Linked DNA regions of Tamandua tetradactyla. The protein of the gene in region 2 purifies or fractionates together with the protein of the main gene of each other region. This does not show direct contact. Links are inferred from orthologs where the notes say so. Each region holds a gene or a part of one and is shown on either strand. Other genes may lie near its edges.

Region 1 (7,807 bases), on a different chromosome or scaffold from region 2:
GATCATGGCAACTTTCATCTATCCCATAAGCATAGCCACTAAAATCTATTATTAAGAGAAAAAGTGGTAGTCAAATGGGAACCAAAAAAGTTATTAGCCATACTCCTTACTTCAAATATTATACTTAACCATAAAACTTTAATTTGAAAAAGTAATATTTAAATCAATCAAAACATTTATGAGAACACAGAATATAACTATTACAACAAACAGCAAAAATTTTGTCTCTGAATGCAAATCTCACTTGCAAGCAAGTCGATAGCCACTGATAACTGATGTGGGATGAATTTTCTGTTTGACTAGTTCATCTGCATTTTTCAGAAGTTCTGCTGCAATAATAACCTGTTGAGAAAACATTCATTGCTCTAAATGTAGCCTGGCATTCAGTATATGCAATGCATACATAAAATCAACACTATCTGATAAGAGCCAGAAAAATATTCTGCTAAGAAGCTCTTTCAGCAATATAGTAAAAGACTACACAGTCCTCTTAGGTTAAGTGGTTAACAGAGACTAACGTTTACTCAAACAACTTATACTAATTTAAGTTATTCTTGGTTTATTTTAACAATCTAATGAACACTAAAAATAGTTTTAATTAAAAAAATTTTTTAAATCCTGGGAGCTTTTCCCACCCTGGAAATTTTGTTAAATTACATTATGATAAATCAGTTACCGAGACAGACTACTATTATGACCTTAGAAGAGATAGAGTTCATTTTCTCATGGCTGAAGTGAAACATATTTCTTTCCCAAGATATTATTGCTTGTTTGGCTAGCTAACTTCAAACTTTAACAAACCCAAGTATACAGGATAATCTTTGAAAATTTAAGTCACCTTGTTAATCATGTTTACTGACTTGTCAAAATCTTTACATTGTCATACTGTAAATTTCTCACTTCCATTTTGACCCAGGAGTCTGCCAATCCTTAAAAAATATATATTTTAATTAAAAATGAAACAAAGCAAAGCAAAACTGGCAACATTTTCCCTCTAGATCATTACAAAGTAAAGGTCTTAGAACTTTCCACGGGTGGGGGAAGTGGCAAACTTTTTAGAAAAACAAAAATCTTAAGTACAATTAACCATGCTTAGCCAAAACCTCACGTCACATATCTGTAATACTATCTGTATTGTGGGGCAAAAAAAAAAATCTCAAAACTTCCAAAGGTCAAGATTTAAAATGAGTATATCAAATTATCTCAAGTTTCTTTTCTACTCAAATTGAAACAAACTAGGGTGATTAAGGTATTGGTGATGAAGGTAAGGGATGTTGGTATTGGTAACATTACGTGAATTTAATTAAGATCACTAAATTGTACACATACAGCAGGTAAAATGCGAAATTTGGTGTTGTGTGTTATCATAACAACAAAAAAACTGTATAAACTAGCTATAACCATCATTTTTCAAATGTATTTGAATCAGTACCCAAGAAATCTAATTTCTTCCTATTAAATATGTAACTTATTTCTCACTCAGAAGCAAATGATTCACTTATGCTCTCTCTCACTTTGAAAGCTTTGAGGAAAACAACTAGCCTTTAGCTACTCTATCAGGTGGCTTACATACCACTGAGGTAGTTCCATCTCCAACTTCTTTGTCTTGCAGATCAGCCAGCTCACAAAGAACTTTAGCTGCAGGATGCTCTACCTCTAGTAACTTCAAGATGGTTGCACCATCATTGGTAATGGTTACATCCTGAGAAATTTTGCAGGGGTGAAAAAAAAAAAAAAGGACAATGTAAATTACCCTCAGAAATGGAATAGATAACCCCATAAAATAACACAGTTTCATTATGACCACGACTCGATAAATACATCGAATTTACATAGCTAAAATTTAAGAACCATCCCTTTTATTTAACTTATACACAAGAGTTAAGTGTACTTACACCAATATCATCCACCAACATTTTATCCAAGCCAACAGGACCAAGAGAACTTTTTACAATATTAGCAATAGAAGCTGCAGCCATAACTGTGGATAATTAGTGAAAAAAGAAAATGAGAAATACTAGTCCAAAGGAGAACACTTTCTGTCTAAAAAATAAACAACATCCAGTAGCTTCCGAATTTCCCAAACTTACATATATATTCCATCAAAGGCTTTGCTCATAATTCGTATTAGCATTTACTAAGGTAAATTCATTTTGCGGTGTGTGTGCATGGTCCGGGAATCGAACCCGGGTCTCCTGCATGGAAGGCGAGCATTCTACCAATGAAACTACCCGTGCACCCTAAGGTAAACTCATTTAAAGGGGAGCTTTCCCGGATCTTAAATCAAAGGACGCTAACATTCAACCAACATTTCGTCAGCTAATTTTATCATGAGATGCCGTCAACAATAGGAATAAGAAACGGATCTAGACATTGGGACAACCGATGATCCAGCCACCTAAAAATTCTGTTTGCTCGTCGGTAAACTAAGTCCTGTGCTAAAGTCAATGGTCCTGAAACGAAGACCAGAGGTTCAGCAAGATGTTCTACCTGGTTGGGATCGAAACAAAAGACAACTATGGGGGACGCGAGCCGCGGCCGACATATTTCAGCGCAGATGGCTCGCTTTCCAGGCGGGGTGCTCGCCATCCACCCCCAACCCACACGCACGCGGTGCAGCTCTCAAAAACGTGCTGCGCTCTAAGGGAGCGGCCCTTCCTGGGACTGGGGCGCAGTCGCCCCGCCCCAAGAGGCCACCCGGCGGCTCTTCTAGGGACTGGAAAAGAGAGAGAAGCGTACGGAAGGCAGCCACAGGCCTCCCGGGGCGCGGTGGGGCTGCTCGGGCCCCCTCAGGCCTAGCCGTCTCTTACCGTTCTGGGAGCGGATCGCCTCCCCAGTGCTGCGGTCCCCGAACACGGACAAAGGCCCCTCCATCTTCGCGGTAGGGGGCTCGTCAAGAATCACTGACACGAAACCAGCGTTTCTCCCCCAGACACGGCGGCGGCCACCGCAACGGCGAAAACGCGAGGCAAGGCGAGAGGGAGAGGAGGAGAGATCGGTGCGTAGGCAGGAAGTGAGCGAGCGGCAGGGGGCGGGCACAGAGGCGGGTCAGCATCCTCGTCCAATTGGAAGCCCGATGAGAAGGGCGCGAAAGCAGGAGAACGGAAGTCCAGTTCCTGGGCGTCCGGAGGAAGGAGGTGATAGTTTGAGCATTCACCCGGGCAGTATTGCGCATGCCAATCTGGGGCATTCTAGTGACTTCTAGAAAAGGCGGCTGCAGGGTGGGGCTTGGGGTGCAGGGTGGGCACCTCTGTAATTTAGAACTGGGGGGCTGGGCAAGTTTGGGGTTTCAGCTTTATTCTCTTACTTTTTTGCCCTAAACAGGGATGTTTCCTCAGGGAACGTCAGGCTTTTCCCTAATGCACGTAAGCTTCTAGGGTGCCCGAGCCTGTGGGGCGTGGCAGGAAGTCAGCCAAAGTTTTCCAATGGGCTCAACGTGAAAATTTTTCACTGGAGGAAGACCCGTTTTCAAGAGTCAATCGTGCATCTTGCTCATTCCCATTTCTTCCCGTGCCCAACTGGGGTTTGCGTGGATCCTACAATTGGTCTAAGTCTTGGAATAGAGGGCCAAGATACGGTAACCTGAGGTTGTGGATGCCCTTAGACAGTTAACTCCTCGCCCGCTAGGAGAGTTAGCTTTCGACAGCAGCGCACGCCACCTGCAACACAAGCTTGCGAACCCTCCCGGCAGGACTCGCGCAAATAAGGCTTGCTCTAAGCCAAGGGGATCCCGCCCCGTCCACCACGCGTGTTACTGAGTGGTGATTGGTCAGCTCAAAGGCTTGCGTGCTCCTAAGCGTAGGTGATGATTGGAGAAGCGGAGATAACAACTTGCCTTCTCCGCCACTCGGCTGCAGGGGGTTTGCTGGTTCCGGGTCGAGAGTGTCCCACGTGTTGAGGATTTGATGACGCTCCCGACCCTGTGGCGTTGTCCCTAAGTTAATATGGCTGCGCCCGTGGAGACTGTGAAACACCCTTGAGGAAGAGGAGGCCAGACTTTATCGAGGCTTTGCCTGTGGTCTCCTGGTTATGGCGCTTCGTTCGCGGCCCTGGGAGTTATTGTCCGTTTGCAGAAATCCAGGTAATTAACCTTCCCCACTTTCCTTACGTTAAGTCGAGGGCTTGGAAAATAAATGAATATGCGAATTGCATTTTATTTTCCGCATGCAACATCGAAAAGTCAATGAGCTCACGGTATTGGGATGACAGTAGTAGGAAACTAAGGACCTGGGTCTGTCATTACTACACCCTGTGCCCAAACATACATATCATGCCCCTTCCAGGGCGGGAAGATTGGGGGAGTGGATAGGGAAAAAAGTAAAATCATATTCCTGTTTTGTCCGTATTACTCATCTTTTTTTAAATTGCTTTAAAATTGTGAAATATAACATGTATACAAAAAAGCAAGAAGTTTCCAGGTACATTTTAGCAAGTAGTTACAGAGCAGCTTCTAAAGTTTGATATGGGTTACAGTTCCGCGATTTTTCGTTTTTTCTTCTAGCTGCTCCCAGACATTGGAGACCATAAGAAATATCAATATAATTCAACAGTCATGCTCATTTGTTAAATCCTGTCATTTCTGTTATACTCCTCCTCCTTTTTAACATTGTGTGTGTGTGTGGAAAAACATATGCAAAAAAGCAAGAAATTTCAAAGCACCTTGCAACAATTAGTCGTAGCACAGATTTCAGAGTTTGGTATGGATTTCAATTCCACAATTTTAGATTTTTACTTCTAGCTGCTGTAAGATACTGGAGTCTAAAAGAAATATCAATATAGTGATTCAGTGCTCATACTCATTTGTTAAACCCTACCTTCTCTATATAACTCCACTATCACCTTTGATCTTTCTTCCACTCTTTAGAGCCATGCCCAGTGCCCATTATAGTTTTTCATGTTTGAAGGGGCTGTCAATAATATCGGATAGGGGATGGAACTAGTTGATGTTCTGGAAAGGCTGGCCCTTCTGGGTTTCAGGTCTTATCTAGTCCAGGGACCCATTTGGAGGTTGTAGGTTTCCGGAAAGTTACCCTAGTGCAGGAACTTCTGTAGAATCTTATGTAACAGCCTAGGTATTCTTTAGGATTGACAGAAATGGTTTTGATTGGGGGTTGGTAAATTATGATACGTAGCAATGTCTAACTGAAGCTTGCATAAGGGTGACCTCCAGATTAGCCTCTCAACTTTACTTGAACTCTCTCAGCCACTGATGCCTTATTTGTTACACTTCTTTTCCCCCTTTTGGTCAGAATGGCATAGATTATCCCATTGTGCCAGGGCCAGACTTATATTTGGGAGTCATTCTCCCATGCTGCCAGGGAGACTTTCATCCCTGGATGTCATGTCCCACGTAGGGGTGAGGGCAATGGTTTCACTTGAAGAGTTGGGCTGAGAGAGAGAGAGGCACATCTGAGCAACAAAAGAGGTCCTCTGCAGGTGACTCTTAAGCATGCCTATAGGAGGCTAAGCTTCTCTACTACGTACATAAACTTCACAAGAGTAAGCCTTAAGATCAAGGTCTTGTTCTGTTGATTTGGGTGTCCCTAATGTTTGGCACAGTATCAAGGGTTTCCCCAGTGGTAAAGTTTATTAGATCCATATGTTTTCTCCTATCCCTGAAGGGACTTTGCCAATACGTTTTGATTATCTGCTTAATATTCTCTGGGATGTATCCAGACATTATATTAAGCTATACAGGATAGGCTCTATTCTTATTCTGGGCTCCCTGTGTTTGAATTATTTAAATAGTCTATCCAGACAGGTTGAGTTAGATTATATGCTACAGAAAATTTAGATTCTGAATCAAATAAACCTTTCTTCCTTTGGTCTCAAAGAGTGCATGAGGTTCTAAAATATAGACAATGCTTTCCTTACCCCTGTATTCTGAATTACCTTATTCCTAACTTGGTTGGCTTCATTCTTATCTCTAAATACCAGATTATACATATATTAAACACCCTCTCATAATCCAGAAATAACAGTTACCACTCTGGGCTAAATGTGACTGCTATAATAGTTTACAATATAGGCCCCAGTTTTCTTCTAAGTATTTTCTAAATGAGATCATATAATACTTGTTCTTTTGTTTCTGGTTTATTTTGCCTTAACAAATGTCCCAGGTTCATTCACATTGTTGCATGTCTCATAACTTCATTCCTTTTTGTAGCAGCAGCACAGTGTGCGATCATATGTATACACCATCATTCGCCAGTCTACATCTCAGTCAGTGCATCCTTCAGCCATCTCCATCTACTGGGCCTCATACGTATAACATCCAACGTCAACAGTCCATCAAATTCTAAATTTTAGATAATTTCATTGTTCCCAAGAGAAAGATAACCAGTAAACATACCCTCACCAAATAGAAAATCCAAATTTCCCCATAACTTTTGCCCCCCCCCAACCATGGTACAATTGATGTTTTCCTGTTACACATAGCTTATGGCATACACATATTACTCATCTTTTAAGATAAGTGTGGTGGTTTCCATTTCTTAGAGTTTGGGTTTGCAGCCCTCTCAACTGGTCCCAAACCAGCGGTGACGCCTGAAGTGGACCCTCTGGAAAATGAAGCTGTTGCCCCAGAATTTACCAACCGAAATCCCCGGAATCTGGAACTCTTAGCTGTAGCCAGGAAGGAGCGGGGTTGGCGGACGGTGTGGCCCTCCCGTGAGTTCTGGCACAGGTAAATAAAGCTATTTGTTGTTGACCTAAAGGCAGAGTGGTGCATGGTACCCTGCAAGCTGCTTTCATCCATTCATTCAGCAAATATTTATCCAGCCCTTACTATGTGCCAAATACTGCTGGGGACTCTGCCCTTAGGAAGTTGACATGGGTGGGGAAAGGGGTTGGCAGCTGAATGGGGCAAATAGCACCTGTCTTGGAGAAAACTTGAAGAGGATGACTTAAGAGTGGGTGATTGGGTACCTTTGTATGACCTTTCTAAGGGAGTGATATTTAAAAAGCTGAAATCTGAAAGGAAGAACTCAGGCCATCTCGGAAATGCCAGGAAGAGCATTCCTAGCAGACCAAACAGCAATGGTGGGAATGAGCTTGTCATGTTAGAGGAACAGAAAGAAAGCCTGTGTGCCTGGAGCTCAATAGGCAAAAGGGTGCATGATGTAAGATGAGACTGGAGGGCTAGTGAGGGGACAGATTATTAGCTTTACAAGACAAGTTAAGCAGTTCAGACTTTATTCTCGCTGTAGAGGGGAGCTATGAGAGGTTTATAATTTTGAACCTGAATGACCTGATATTTAAATATCATTCTGGTTACTCTGGGATGGATAGATTCTTTTTTTTCCTCTCTCTCTCTTTTTTTTTTCGCATGGGCAGGCTCCGGAAATTGAATCTAGGTCTCCAGCATGGCAGGCAAGAACGCTGCCTGCCGAGCCACCATGGCCTGCCCCGGGACGGATAGATTTTTAAGGGAACTAGAGTAGAAGCAGGGAGAACAGTTAGGAATCTGCTATTCCTGTCATTTTGTCACAAGAATGGTTGTTTATTGAACACTTTCTTTTTGCCAAGAACTATGGTTGCTGGTTTATGCACATTTTCTCATTTACTACTTAAAACTACTTTGTAAAGCAGAAACAATTACTTTCTCCATTTTATAAGAGCAGGGGGAATTAGGGGTGAAGAAGTGCTAGGGTGAAGATTCAAAAATATTCTCAGAACTAGGCACTAAATTTTCTGTAACCTGCAACATGTGGCTGTTTATCTGCTGCCCATCTACTTGGTAAGAATTTTTTTTAAAAAGAATTTTTCTTAAGGACCCCGTAGAGTTACGAAACAAGTTAGAAATTAT
Region 2 (7,081 bases):
ACCTGAAGCCCAGGAAGGTCCCTGCTTTCTGCAAAACTGTACCTGAGTGCCAGTGGGGTCCCAGCATGATCTGGTAACAAGGCCCAGGTTGCCTGTCACTTGCAGCACACCACCTGCCCTGGCATAGCTCCCACCTGCTTACCTTTATTTCCACTACTAACACTACCTTCTTTAAGTGCCCACCAATGTGTCAGGTCCTGTTGTTGGATATGTAGATCTCATTTGAGCCTTAAAATGAGCTCAAAGATTCAGAGAAGTGAAGTCATCAGGGTCACGTTGTTTATAGGTGGCAATGCTGGGATTCCAATCAAAGACTGCCAGATTCAAAAGCTTTTGCTAAATTCTTCTAAAAGGAGCTATTTCAGCTCAGGCACTGCAGGCCTCTCTGGATCCCAGGGTTTGAGTCTATGAATCCTCTGAGCAAGTGGAAGCCCTAGTGGGTCCCCACGAGGCCATGAACTAGATCCCAGAACTGGTCCTTCTTCAGACTGGGCCTGGGACAATGGTGGCCAACTCAGACGTCAGTATAGTTAGTACCTCCTAGTCCACTTCAGTTTCAAATGGTAGGACCCTTGCACCCACCAGACCTCCCTAGTTCTCTGCTGCCTCACACCCCACATCAAAGTCTAAATGTCTCTGCCAAGCTGTTGATGACTGAAAAGAACAGTCAGAGACCTAGATTCAAAACCAACATCCCTTCCAGTCAGCTTTGTAACCTTGGGCAAGACCTTGGACAATTTCCTCTTCCGTGAAGTGGAATAAATACTCATCCCTGCCCTGCCTTATCCATAAGGCTGCTGCAAGGAACAAAGAGAATGAAGGCATAATTTCTCATTTACTCTGAAAACTCTAGCATACTACCCAAGCATTAGCCCTTATCACCAGCACACTGATTCAGGCCCTGTGAAAACAAGACTGATCGGAAACGGAAAAGGGCCAGGCAGCAACTGGTTTAAGTTCCTAAAATGCCAGTAAGAACCGAGGAAGCTAAGACAACTAAAAACACTTTGAAGCTGGCCAAGTCAGGGCAATTTCCTTGAACTGACAAAGCACAGAGGAGTCAGAGACAGGCACTTATAAAGGGGCCTCGCCTGTTTACCAAACTCATGCAAACTTTGCCTGGCTGTAGAGGGTCTATGTGGGGCAAAAGGCCTATGTGAGGCAAAAAATCCAGCTCCGCCACTTCCTCAGTCAAATTACCTGGCCTCTAGGAATCTGGCTTCCTCTTCTGTAAAATGGAGCAAATAATTCCAACCTTACAAGCTGGCTGGGGGAAGATTGTTTTTTTTTTTTTCCTTCTTGCCAGTTCATGGCCAAACAGTGGGCTTGTAAATTTTCCAGCCTTGGGGAAGCCACAGTCAAACAGTTTCTTGGATAAGGCAGGTGATTAGTCTCCTCACTGTTGCGCACACATTTCAGGCCTCCATTCCTACTCTCATTGTGCTTGGAATGTCCTTCCTCCCTGGTCCTGCCCCATTGCTTACCCAAATTATCTTCATGCTTCAAGGCCTACCTTCACTTAGAAACCTTCCCTGATGACTTCAGCCAATGCCAGCACTGCCCTCGTCTAATATAGCAACAACAATAACACTTAATGATTGCCAAATATTTGCACTGGACCAAAGCACTATGCTAACTTCATACCACGCACCAACTCACTGAATCTTCACAACCAACTTATTAAGTACTATTATCCTCACTTCTCAGTTGGTGAAATGGAGTCTCAGAGAGCTCAAGACCACAAACACAGCTAGTAAGCAGCAGAGCTCAGATTCAAACCCAGAGCCATCATACTCCAAGGCCTCTGCTCTTAACCACCACACCATTCTACTTCCCATAAAACTCTGCGATGGGCCTCCCTCCATCCAGGGCTTAATTCTACTCTAGCTTATTTGCTGCAATTCTGAGGTCCTACCAATGAAAATGAGAGTTGGATGAAGTCCACCCCTTCTAGCATTATGGCCAGAAAAGGGACAGGACACAGAAAACTGATCTCGGATTCTAACCCCTACTTGCTGGTGAATTAACATGAGATTTCTCACTTGTAAACTGAAGACACCCACCTTTTATGGCTTGTTGGTGGAATTAAAAGAACTTTGTAAACCACAGAGTTTCTTGCTTTCCTGCCTTGACTCTTTGTTCTTGCTGACACTCCCTTTTATCTCATTTTTAAAGGCCTGCCCAAAGTACAGCTCCGCCAAGGAGTCTTCCCTGTTCCTCCCCAAAAGATGGGATTGTTGCTTTAAGCTTCCTGAATACTTTCCATAACTTCTCTTACTACTTTATAAAAATACATCATCTGATACTTTAAGTGTCTTTATTAAGGTGTGCCTCCCCCAGCAGGCTAGTGGCTCCTCGAGGAAAGGGGCGTTATACTGCTCCTCTCAGGGAACACTTCCTAGGTGGGCCAGGCCCAGAGTTCTCCGCTGGGCTTGCCCGGGGTCAGAACGTCCGAGTAGCGGCAAGACCTCCCCTCCCCGGGGCTAGCAGGCTTACCTAGCCTTGGCGCAGAGGGCCTTGACTTCGCTCTCCTTGATGAGCTCGCAGCGTCGCAGCTGCTCTATCTGCCGGTCCAGGTCGCTGATCTCCGCCATGGCCCACCCCCAGCGCGGGTCAGAGCCGGGGCCACTGCCCCCTCTGCACCGCACAGGGGTCCCCTGGGAAAGGTGAAGACGACCCCACAGATCTGAATGTCCGTACGGGGCGCCAGGGGCCAACGCGATTCTGAGGCTGGCCCGCCCCTTCCCCCCCCCTACCCGCCTCCCCTCACATCGGCTCCCAGAGACTCCCGACGTCCCGCGGCTCTGGCCGCACCGCCGCTAACTCCCGTCGAACCCCACAGGTCCCGCGCTAGGGACGTGGCCTGGAGGGGTCTCGGGCTATTACCGCCGCTGCGACTCCGGCTCCGGCTCTCAGGCTCTCTACCTTCCTCCTTCCCCCCGCTTTGGGCCGCCACTACCGCTGCTCCTACTTCCGGCCCCGCCGCGGAAGCAAAGGGAAGCTAGTTCCGGCGCGCGTCGGAAGTGGCGTCATATACACTCCTCCCTTCCGCGCCGCGCCCTTAACCACACCTCTCAAGCCTAAGAATGAAGTGAGCGGAGGGAGCTGGTTGTAGGTAACATGCGGACGGAAGTTGTGGACGGAAGTTGTGGACTAAACGGGCCGGTACTGGAGGGTGTTACAGACCTCAGGCCAGTTCCCTGCCGTTTCAGTTAGGGAAACTGAAGCTGAGCTGTGCTTAAACCTCTTAACTTCATGTTAAGTACTTTTGCCCATCTGTTGTAGTTTGCCTCGCCTACTACAATCCTTGAGGTATGGAATTTTGTCTTGTTTACCATTGTAGCCCTATGGGCCTGGCACATAGTAGGCATACATAAATATTTGTTCATGGCCGAAGGAATCTCAGTCCAATCCCCAGTCTCTTTTCATGGCCCGGGGGAAATCTTTGCCATCGGGACATCTACAGTTAGAGGCAGAAGAAAAGATCCACATTTCCCTCATCAAGCTAAAGACCTACCTCATTACAAAATAGGTCCCTTTACCTCACCTCAGTTACTTCCTATCTAAGGCAAGTTTTGTTCCTTTGTTAGGAGGAGGAAGCTGGCTCAAAGAACTAATTTGTTCATGGTTACATAGCTGAGAATTTGAGATTTGAATCAGGGTTGAAATTTGAACCCCAGAAAACTGTTCTCAAATCTAGTTTTTCCATTTTCTCAGAATTTACCATTTCTGTAGTTCAGTGAATCGTTATAAAATTCAGAAGTCCAGAATTTTCCAAACTCCCCTGACATTTGTAGTCCTCTGCTTCCCTTGTCTCTTTTGCTGGAGGCAGAGGAAGATACTCTAATCTAAGCCCACTCTCCACCTTTCCAGTCTCTCAGCCTTTACACATGCTGTTTTTTGAAGTGTCGTTTTTGCTTTCTTTCTACTTACCCTCAACTTTTATTTGCTTCAAGTTTTGTTTCCCAGAATTGAGGCTAGGCACAGAAATGAGGCCAAAGTTTGGAGGGCCACTAGGAGTGGATTTGATACATGAATGCAGGCAGTAGGTGCAAATGTGCACAGAAGGGAAGGACGAGGGTTCCTAGAAGGTACTAGGTAAGTCAGTTCTATGAGGATCATTGTGGGGATTTTTTAGGTCCAGAAAGGACAGAAAGGTCATGACCTTTTTCATGGATGGGAAGTTCAGACAGGAAAGAGTCCCTATCCAGAAAGGCTGGCAGTGAAAGAAGTTGCAGAAAATTTGGGAGGTGGCAGCAGGGCTATGTCTGTGGTTAGGATCTTTGGCAGTTCAGAAGAATCCAGTGTAGTTACTGTAGCATCCCAGCCTGGATGATTGAGGAAGAGTTCAGCGCATTGCATAGGGACAGCTTCAGGACCTTCCCTCTGGCCTCATGGACTGTGGCAGCTGCTGAGGTGCAGTTAACCTGGAACCTGGAGTACGTGTGCTGTCTGCATTGTTTAATTGAATGTTGGAGAGAATTCCAAATGCCTTCAGGGATTCCATGGCCCAAAGAGGACTAAGAATTTTAATTCCATCTCGCCCATAAAATGGGGCAATGGACCAGCCCCCTTATGGGGATATGCAGTAATAATCCTGTTTTCCCCGAAGAAACTTGTGTGATCTTAGGCAAGATGGCCGGGAATAGCAGTACCTACTCATCTACAGCACCTGCTACACTGTCTGGCTTTAAGCAGTTACTATTTTTCCACAGGGGCCTTGTGCACCCTGAGTTCTGGGCTGATACTGTGGCCTCTGGTGACTTGAGCAGTACATTTGCGCCCTTATCTGTGAGCCTTATCAGATGCTGCTGATAGAAATGGGTGGAGCATATAGTGGTTGGAGAATTTCACAAACTCTCTGTCTTCCTGAAAGCTCTGGGCAAGTATAAAACAAGGAAGGACACAAAAACAAGAGCTTTCTTCTTCAGGGCTCTGCCACCTTTGCAGGTTCCCCACTGCGCCAAACACCACGAGCACAGACAACAGAGTCCCCCTTAAATAGTTGTTTATTGGCAGTGGGCTGTAAAGGATGGAGTTAGCATATACAGACAACACCACACACCAAAGTCACAAGGGAGGCAAAAAAGTGATGGGAAAGAGCAGCCGGGAGCCCCAGATGAAGCCCCTCCTTGACAGTGAGTGTAGGAGGAAGCAGGGGCTTGGAGTGTTGAGGGGGCAACCTTAGAACACCTCTGCTTAGTAGGCATGGTTAGAGATGAAGAGGGACTCGCTGGCTGCGGTGCCGGTCTGGCCACTTGGGGTGTACTTTCCTTGGCAGGCAAGGCTGTTGGCCTAAAGGGGGAGAGAAACCAGAGTGAGAAGGCCTCAGGGAACCCAGCTTCTCAGAATCCCACCTACCCAGGTACCCTGTCTGCATCCTGCCCCATCCTTACCAGGGCTCGCTTGACATACTCTTCCTGGGCAGCCTTCAGGTTCTCCTTCTTCCCACCCCAGGCCTTCAGGGCAGAAGCCTGCAGGGCTCGGCCATAGGAGAAGGTCAGGGCCCATGGCTTCTGCAGGGGGCACTTGTTGATGGCGTTAAGGTTGATGGATGCCTCCTCTTCACTCTGGCCTCCAGATAGGAAGGTGACTCCTGCAGAACAAGGGTGAGACAGATAGGATCCCCAAGAAGCTGCCCTGAAGAACAGACCAGATGGGTATAAAGTCTGTGGGTATAAAGTACCCCCTTCCCAAGATGAAGTTGCACGCCTCACCAGGGACAGCAGGAGGCACTGTGCGGCGCAGTGCTGTGACAGTTGCTATGGCAATCTCCTCGTGAGAAAACTTCTGGGTGCAGGCATGGCCTGGGGTTACCATGTTGGGCTTCAGCAAAGTGCCTTCCAGGTAGACGTGGTGGTCACTCAGAGCCTTGTAAACAGCAGCCAGCACCTGGAGTAGGGCAGGGCCCAAGTTGGGTGGGGAGACGGGTCAGGTCAGGGCCCTGGCCCAGCTGCCCCACCCACCACAGCAAGCAGGAACCTACCTTCTCGGTTACATATTGACAGCGCCTCAAGTCATGGTCCCCGTCGGGGAGAATCTCTGGCTCCACGATGGGCACGATGCCATTCTGTTGGGTGGGAAGTGGGGTGAGGCCTCCTAAACCCAGGGTTCTGCCTCCAACCCCCCTGAAGTCACTGGCTGAGAGGAACTCCTGGCTTCAAGACCAACCTCATAAGCCTACTCTAGTCCTCTGCCTTGCAGAGCTTTCTGAGCATCTTCTGCTGGGCAAAGACAGAGACTGATTTGTTCCTAGAAAGTTCCAGGAACAGCTGCCTTGGGGGAGGAGGTAGGTATCCTGGCAGATGCGTAGCAGGCTAGCTGACAGCTTGGGGCCCAAGGAGGTGGGAGGTGGCTTACTGGGGACCCACAAGCCAACCTGCTGGCAGATGCTGGCATAACGGGCCAGCACATTGGCATTCTCCATAATGGCGAGGGAGGTGGGAGTATGCTCCCCGATCTTCAGCACACAGCGCCACTTGGCAAAGTCAGCTCCATCTTTCTTGTACTGGGCACAGCGCTCAGACAGCCCATCCAGCCCTGAAGGAGACAGAGGAATCAGAGCACAATGAGGGAGGAGCCACTTGGCCACTTACCCGCGGCCACCATGAAGGGTGACTATGGGTTAATAGAGTGAGGAGCCAAAGAGTTCTCACCTTGGGTGGTGGTCTCGCCATTTGTTCCTGCCAGGGGTACCACGCCCTTGTCTACCTGTTGGGGGAGGAGGGACAGCAAGATAAACAGGAAATGGTCTAGCACCCTTTTCTCCTCTGTAGCCCCAATCTGAACCCAACTTAATCTCTTAAACAGCACCTCATGGCTCACAAATATTTTTGCTTAGGTACAGTATCTAATCCTATGAGGCAAGATACATGGAGATGTTACCTGGCACAGACTGTTAACTGATTTGAGTTTCAGGAGGCCTGGGCCCTACCAGTTACTAACTCTGTAAGCAAAACACTTCACTTCCCTGACCCTCTGGTTTCTCATTTGTAAAACAGAGTAATCTCTCCCTCTGAGAATTGTGAGGGCTAAAAATGCCAGGCAGGTAACTGAAGTCCCTGGCTTTTCCTCTCCATCC

Evidence for each region. The genes of interacting proteins can lie anywhere in the genome.
Region 1: the proteins of PPP4C (region 2) and TCP1 purify together in Homo sapiens (affinity purification with mass spectrometry; 5 studies listed by BioGRID and IntAct, with this or other methods). This does not show direct contact. The link is inferred for Tamandua tetradactyla from reciprocal best matches to the Homo sapiens genes PPP4C and TCP1.

The regions. Positions count from the first base shown.
Region 1 is NC_135337.1:63,588,656-63,596,462, forward strand, and holds the start of TCP1 (T-complex protein 1 subunit alpha), read right to left. Parts: upstream 3,022-7,807; 5' UTR 2,875-3,021; coding exon 2,811-2,874; intron 1,982-2,810; coding exon 1,896-1,981; intron 1,703-1,895; coding exon 1,574-1,702; intron 343-1,573; coding exon 245-342; intron 83-244; exon of another isoform or gene 1-82. Other genes in the region: MRPL18 (large ribosomal subunit protein uL18m), read left to right, coding at 4,030-4,081, 6,499-6,685. UniProt on the Homo sapiens protein: Component of the chaperonin-containing T-complex (TRiC), a molecular chaperone complex that assists the folding of actin, tubulin and other proteins upon ATP hydrolysis.
Region 2 is NC_135349.1:24,612,231-24,619,311, reverse strand, and holds the start of PPP4C (serine/threonine-protein phosphatase 4 catalytic subunit), read right to left. Parts: upstream 3,022-7,081; 5' UTR 2,926-3,021; exon of another isoform or gene 2,887-2,925; intron 2,658-2,886; 5' UTR 2,595-2,657; coding exon 2,497-2,594; intron 2,419-2,496; exon of another isoform or gene 1-2,418. Other genes in the region: ALDOA (fructose-bisphosphate aldolase A), read right to left, coding at 5,200-5,295, 5,397-5,596, 5,718-5,892, 5,987-6,070, 6,380-6,540, 6,657-6,711. UniProt on the Homo sapiens protein: Protein phosphatase that is involved in many processes such as microtubule organization at centrosomes, maturation of spliceosomal snRNPs, apoptosis, DNA repair, tumor necrosis factor (TNF)-alpha signaling, activation of c-Jun N-terminal kinase MAPK8, regulation of histone acetylation, DNA damage checkpoint signaling, NF-kappa-B activation and cell migration.